2 linked regions of the Canis lupus familiaris genome follow. The main gene of each other region encodes a partner of the protein of the gene in region 2 in a complex. Links are inferred from orthologs where the notes say so. Each region holds a gene or a part of one and is shown on either strand. Other genes may lie near its edges.

Evidence for each region. The genes of interacting proteins can lie anywhere in the genome.
Region 1: the proteins of TGFBR1 (region 2) and GDF11 are in contact, whole or in part, in a crystal structure (PDB 6MAC), measured with the Homo sapiens proteins. The link is inferred for Canis lupus familiaris from reciprocal best matches to the Homo sapiens genes TGFBR1 and GDF11. Residues at the interface, in NP_004603.1 of Homo sapiens: Ile78, Pro79, Asp81, Arg82, Phe84, Ala87, Pro88, Ser89, Ser90, Lys91; in NP_005802.1 of Homo sapiens: Phe322, Ala324, Phe325, Gly326, Trp327, Trp329, Ile330, Met382, Tyr384, Phe385, Asn386, Asp387, Ile392, Ile396, Pro397, Met399.

The regions. Positions count from the first base shown.
Region 1 is NC_049231.1:498,071-501,721, reverse strand, and holds part of GDF11 (growth/differentiation factor 11), read right to left. Parts: intron 3,611-3,651; coding exon 3,230-3,610; 3' UTR 3,229-3,229; intron 2,527-3,228; exon of another isoform or gene 193-2,526; intron 1-192. UniProt on the Homo sapiens protein: Secreted signal that acts globally to regulate anterior/posterior axial patterning during development. May play critical roles in patterning both mesodermal and neural tissues. It is required for proper vertebral patterning and orofacial development.
Region 2 is NC_049232.1:56,544,878-56,548,528, reverse strand, and holds part of TGFBR1 (TGF-beta receptor type-1), read right to left. Parts: intron 3,442-3,651; coding exon 3,285-3,441; intron 1,450-3,284; coding exon 1,325-1,449; intron 1-1,324. UniProt on the Homo sapiens protein: Transmembrane serine/threonine kinase forming with the TGF-beta type II serine/threonine kinase receptor, TGFBR2, the non-promiscuous receptor for the TGF-beta cytokines TGFB1, TGFB2 and TGFB3.

The DNA of each region.
Region 1 (3,651 bases), on a different chromosome or scaffold from region 2:
ATGCTCCTTAGGACTGTATGTCCTCACCCTCATCCCAAATGCCCCTAGTGGTTTTTTTTCCTTGCTCCAAAGACCCCCATGTTCCTACTCCTTGAGCACAAGGTTTCCTCCTCTCTCAGATCCTCTTTTGTTCCTGGTCTCCAAGGTATAAATGTGGCGCTTGGTTAGGGAGAAGAGTTCATCACTGAATTCTAAACTCTTTGACTGCTTTTATTTATTTATTTTTTTTCAGGTTCAAGTGCTGGATTGTGTCATGTGACCATCCCAAAACTCAGAGCACCCTATGGCCATCTTTGCCCTCTGTCACATAACTTGAAAACTGCTTGATGGCCTTTTTGCAATGGTTCCCTCCAGGAAGCCTTGATCTCAGTGAAGAAGTCCTTTCCCGGCATTCCAGTACCCCTGTCACCCCCATACTTCTCAATCACCCTTAACAAACAAAGGCAATCACACACGTGGTGTAACAAATACACAAAGTAAATAATAATTACACTACTTATGATCAGAGGGGCACTGGCCAGGTCCACACACATCATAAAGTGGGAAAGGGGTTGCTAGTCCCCACTAGGTTGCTTTACTGTGCCCCCAAACCTCTTTACCCCATGCCTCTTTGGGAGTGAGGAGGACCAAGGGAATGAGACTTCATAATATATGTTCAGAAGAAAAAGACCCTCCCCCCACAAAGGTCTTTATTTGGTGGTGTTAAAGGGGCATATTGTAAGTGTCCTCCAAGTCTAATGCTCCAGCTCTCTAGCATTTATAGAGGGAAGTCACCTGATGTCTATTGCCCAACCCCCACCCTGTGCCAAGATCAAGAGACATGAGCATTTGATCTTGGAGGAGGCATCTTCTGTTCTTCACTTCTCTGTTCCTCCTTCAACCAAGGAAATGTGAATGATGTTGATGGGTCAGGTGTATCTTGTTCTCCAAGACTGGGGTAGAAGGAAGGATAGAACGGCCAGAGAGGAGAGGCTAGAGGTTAGCATAGCTGTTACATGGGAGGTGAGTTGAACTGCTTAACAGCCCCTGCCCATTCCTGTACCAAATACTGCATCTCATTTTTTCACTATGGGAATGGGAATAAGATACTAAAGCTCACCAACATCACCTTCCCAAGGGTGGTCACATACCTTTGCCCCTTCCACCATCTGGGCCAGACAGGAGAGTCATACTCTTGGGAAGAACAAGCCTTCCAGGTCAGCTCTCCAGGCTTTAGTTCAGTACTGTTTGCATCAGACCCATAACTGCTGGCTCTACTTAGAGTGACAGTTTTGCTGAAGGTTCTGGACCTCCTCTCTTGACATCCTCTAGGCTCTTGTCTGGAGCCAAGAGGTCTGGTGGTGAGGTATGGATAGGGTGTGGATCAGGAGATTTCTCAACTCCTTGGCTTCAGGCACTGTCCATCTGGGAGGCAGAGGGGAACTTGTACTCTGAAGCTTGTGACTCCTAAGCCTCACATCTCTTCACCACTACTCTGGTGCCCTGGTTATCTGTCCCACAGCGAGAGGTATTTTATGTCCAATAAAGTGCCCGTGGTAAGTGCTCAGAATTCATCTCTTGGCTGTGGCGGGTGCTGCTATTTCTCATTCCATCGAGGGGAAGAAACTGAGGCACAGTGAGTCCAGAGGATGGTGGGTCAGGATTGTGGGAGGAATGAATAGGCCCAGCTAGTGACTTGGAGTGGCAACCAGTCCCTGCCTGCTTCCTAGCATTCCAAACCAGGGAGTCTCCATCCTTCCAATCCTCTGCTCTAACTGGCCTTGTCAGATGCTTTTCCCTTCCCCACTGTATTTGTTCCCTCCCTGCTGCCAGGTACTGCTAGATTCCAAAAATAAAAGATAAAAATAATTATAGACACTCTGCTCCCTTGTTCTCCCCCCTTCCACCCTGAGCTTTGGGGTTGGGGGAACTAAAATGTCCCCCTGCCCCTCCAGAATCCCTTCCATCTTGGTCTGCTGGCTCTATTCCCTAACCCAGAGCAGTGATTTGAATTCAAATGCCCTGTAACCTTCAATCTCCTTACTACTTTCTTGACCCCTCCTAACCCTTCCCAGACTCGTGACTCTGGGATCTCTATACTCTTATTGACCTGAAGATAGAGGCTGGGAGTAGGGGTATTCCACAGGCTCTTTGGTCTCTCTTGGCTGGGGGGAATTTGGGCATATGTGGGCCACACCCTCTGGCTAAATAACTCAGGACTATGAGGGTGGACCTGAGGGTTAGTTTAGTGGCTCTCATATAGATCCTGGATGTTGATGGCTCTCCCCTCCCCTTCCCCCTACCCCCAGCTCCTAAACCCTAACCTCATACTGTTTCTGTGACTGCTGGAATTCAGTACAACCCATTTGGCTCAGGAAGGTTAAGTTGGGTGATTATGGGTTGGAAACTCATGTGTCAGCCCTCTTGCCCTCTGCTCCCTTTCCCAACCCTGGAGGCTTTATACAAGTGCTTAAGTAGGTGGGTATTGAGGGAGAACAGGGTTTGGGGGAATAAAGGAGAAATGGGGCACAGTGGGCAGGGGCCCTTCTATTTCAGTAAAGCCAAATACCAAAAAAAAAAAAAAAAAAAAAAAAAAAAGAAAGAAAGAAAGAAAAAGAAAAGAAAAGAAAGAAAGAAAAGTCACAATAAATAAATAAATAAAATTCCCAAATCCTTACTTTTGCCCCTGCCCTCATTTCCCTTCCTTGGCCACTGGTGGAGGGAGAAAGGGAAGAAGCTAAGAATGGATTTTTGATTTCCTCCTACTGAGAATGGTAGTCAGGGGATCTCCCCAAACCATACCAAGCCCCTCACCTCGCCAGTGGAAGAAAGGAGGCTGGGTGTGGGGCTTTCTCTTATTACTCCATTTCAGCCTCTTTCTCACCATTTATCTCTGCCTGGTCTCTCTTCTGCCTCTCTCTCCCTTTGCCTTCTCACTGCTGCTCTTTTTGTTCCTCTGTCTCTATCCCTCTGCGCTACCTCTGTCTCTACGTCTCTCTGTCTTCTTGCCAAACCTTCTCACCTGCAAACCTCAAACACTCCCCACCTGACCATGCCCCCCTCTTCCCCAAACCCCTCACCCATCAGTCCCCACCTGCCTCCCTCTGTTGTATTGCACACTGCTTGGGCAGGGAACAAGGTGTGATGTTCATGGGAAGAGGTGGAGGGAGCTCTAGGGCCTGGGGGTCGGGGGGTCGGGCTGGGGGTCTAGGGGTAGGGTCTATGGGGGAGGCATCCTCTGTCCCCCACCTTAGGAACAGCCACAGCGATCCACCACCATGCCAGGGATCTTGCCGTAGATAATCTGCTGCTTGTCATTGAAGTAGAGCATGTTGATTGGGGACATCTTGGTGGGAGTACAGCAGGGCCCAGCAGAGCCTCTTGGATTAGCCTGTTGCACCAAGTGGGTGTGCGGATACTTTTGCATGAACATGTACTCGCACTGGCCGGAGCAGTAGTTGGCCTTGTATCGTTTAGGCGCGATGATCCAGTCCCAGCCAAAAGCCTCAAAGTCCACAGTGAGGGGGTATCGGCAGCAGCGAGACTCACTCGAGTGCTCATCGCAGTCCAGACCCAGATTCCGCCGGGACCGTTTTGTGTTCTCTAGGACCCGAAGCTCCATGAAAGGATGCTGGGGGTGAGGGAGAGGAGAAAGAGCTGTGATTGGGCTCT
Region 2 (3,651 bases):
CAAGCATCAACAACCCATCTCTCTGAGTTGGTACTGGGCCCACACTCTGAAACTACATATCACTAGGGGATCAGCAAAGGCTATTTTAATGACGGTTAACTATGAGCTATGATGACTTGATTAACATTTTCACCTCATGTGCAAGAAATGATAGTTTTTAACCTGTGAGTGCTCACCCTCTCACTTGGTACAGGGGATATACACTCTACCATGGAGATGTAAATCCTACAAGCAAATCTGGGGTGCAAGTCCTTTACCTCTACTTGGATCTGTCCTCTTTGCTATATAATACAGAGACATGCTCTCCCTCTTATTGCCACATAAACCCAAGTCTCAACCAAGCCTGGGCCCCTAAGTATAAGAAACTATTCCGCAAGTAAATATTAAAAGTGCTCAATCTAAAACTAAATTTCAGCTAAAATAAACTTGTTTAAAAACTAGTGTAATGGTAATGTAACTGTATTCTGTATATGTAACTTCCAGCTAAGAAGTTGGAGAAAATAACACACTCTCAGGGGGGAAAATGAGTTTGACCCAGGTACATGCTGTAGAAACAGCTTCCTGGGTGGCCTCTCAAGCAGTCATCCATTATAAATAACTATATTCCAAGATAACAAGGGCTTGGTTTCTCATGTTTCCCAAGATTCAAATGGAAATAGAAAAAGAATACACTAGAATAAGCATGTCATATCATGTCATTTCCCCCCACTGCAAATTTTATCTCCATTATTTTCTTTGGCACTCTCAGTGATCACCTGGTGAATATAATTTCTGACTACTAATGTGTATAATTTCATTCAATGAAAAAAACCAAACAAACAAACAAACAAAAACACGACAGGGGTGCCTGGGTGGCTCAGTCAGTTAAGCATCTGCCTTCGGCTCCAGTCATGATCCCAGGGTCCTGGCATTGAACCCCGCATTGGGCTCCCTGATCAGTGAGGAGTCTTCTCCTTCTCCCACTCATCCTGCTTGTGATTGCTCTCTACCACCATCTCTCAGTGTCAAATAAATAAATAAAAATCGTAAAGGGAATCCCTGGGTGGTTCAGTGGCTTAGTGCCTGCCTTTGGCCCAGAGCGTGATCCTGGAGTCCCAGGATGGAGTCCCATGTCGGGCTTCTGCGTGGAGCCTGCTTCTCCCTCTGCCTGTGTCTCTGCCTCTGTGTGTGTGTGTGTGTGTGTGTGTGTGTGTGTGTGTGTCTCTCATGAATAAAAAAATAAAATCTTAAAAAAAAAAAATCTTAAAGAAAAAAAAAAAAAGCGGCTATCCTGGACCACCTTTTCTGTTCATGACAAACTGTTGGGAGAGGGGGAGAAATTTACCACCAATGGAACATCGTCGAGCTATTTCCCAGAATACTAAGCCCATTGCATAGATGTCGGCACGTTTGAAGGATTCAAAGTGTTTCATATTTATGGAATCATCTAGAACTTCGGGGGCCATATACCTAAAAAAGAAGTCAGCAATTTACTTTATGGAATAGTAGCCATACTACTTTTGAACTGTTTCACATATTTTCTTTTCCTACTGAGAATTTTTTTTATATATATTTTTTAAATTGGTATTAACTTTAAGACTTTTCTTCCCTTTTAGCATGGTTCTGCTTTTTAAAATGACTCATGCTTCTTATAGAAATTTTCTCAAAGTTCAAAAAGTACAAAGTGAAAAATCATTAATGCTTTGATGAACAACCTTTCAGGTATCTCTATTCATATATGGAGATACACACACACACACACACACACACACACACACACACAATATTATATAACTAAAATATTAGACTCAAGAAAAATATTAAATATCCACACTGCTTTGAAAATTAATGATGTCAACTAAATGCCATGAAAAGCTGAAACAGCAATTTCATGCTATCTTATCTGCCTTATGATCTTCATTTCCAATGAAAGACACCTATATAACAATCATGACTATTATAAATGTCTTAACATATACCACCCACTTTGTCAAATACTATGCAGGGATCATATATTTTAATCTAGAAGTCTTCTCACTAAAATAGGATGAAAAGGAAGGATGAGGACATAATCCAGGGAACAAAATAATAGATTAAAAAATGAATGCCAGTCCTCCTACTGATGCCTCATTGTAGGGTTTTGGAATTTTAAAAACCCTCCTGAAGTTACAGATCAGGATCCATGAAGAACTGTAGCAATCACTGTCTTGAATCCCCACATCAAGAGTTCTGAGAGTCCTCGTCAAATCCAGAAATCACAGATACAACTGAGATAGAATAAAGCTTGGCTCTATCCAAGGTGGAGGCAATAGTGTGAAGATACATTGTGGCAACATGCTGTGATATACACACTAAGGCCTTTGGGGTCAGAAAGGCCTAAATTCAAATCTCAGCTCTTCAGGTGAGGCTGACCTTTTTATTTAACATCTATGGGGCTGTTTCCTCTTCTGTGAAATGAAGGCAATGACACCTACCTAGTTATGTTCTTTAGAAAACTCATAGATTCAACAAATATTTACTAAGGACTTACTATGCATTAGGTGCTATAATGGATGCTGGGAATACAAGCCTGATCTCAAGCAGCTTGCAATCCAATGGAATATAAAGACAAGTAAATGGAGAGTTATAATGTGCTCAGTGCCTTAATGGCCCAGCTTCACAGCTTGCTATGAGAGCCCCTGGGAAGGGCGCCTCACAGTCCAGGAAGGGCTTCCTCTAGGAAAGGAAGGGTGACTATAAATCAGGGAAACAAGACAATAAAGCTTTTTGCAGCAAAAAAAAATAAAAAAATAAAAAAAATAAACCAGGGAAACAGCAGGACAAAGTCTGCTCTAGGATACAACACATGCAGAAATTCTAAGGAAGAAAGTATAGTTCCAGGAACTAAAAATAAGAAAATAGTTGGGCTAGCTACAGTACAGCATTTGAAGAGAGCATTAACTGAGAGAATGAATATATATATATATATATATATATATTAAGCAAGAACCAAGCATATATATATGTATGACCCATTAAAATGACTGGCACATACTGGGTACCCTATAAACATCAGCTCCTATTATTATTATAATTTTTCTGGAAGGGCCACGAATGATATTTTCTGGAAGGGCCACCTTTCATCAGCAGGCATCTTTAAAAGTCAGGTAACCTTGGCTTCAGAGCAGGCAAGACCATGAGATCTTCTACCTGTGGGCAATCTAATAAAGTACAGGTTTGAGTTTCAGAAGATAATCCACATAAATGAGAAGGAAATTAAAAAGAAGTTGAGCTCAGAAGATAATAAACACTATTTACAAGCATACCTTTTTGTTCCCACTCTGTGATTTGGAGCAATATCAATGGTATCTGTGGCTGAATCATGTCTCACTGCCAGTCCTAAGTCTGCAATACAGCAAGTTCCATTCTTCTTTACCAAGATATTCTTAGATTTCAAATCTCTATGAGCAATGGCTGGTTTCCCTAAAGAAACAAAAAGTAAATGCAATTGCTTAAAAAGTGATAGCAATCACAATTCTCCCCTTTAGGTTCAAAGCCTCTTCTCCTATCCCAGTGTCAAAGCATTTCAGCCCATAATACCTGGACAATTACTAAACAACCTCAAATGAATCATTATATCAAAAGTTGCTGAAATTATATTTATTCAAAGAAAATGGAGAAAATAAGATGGTG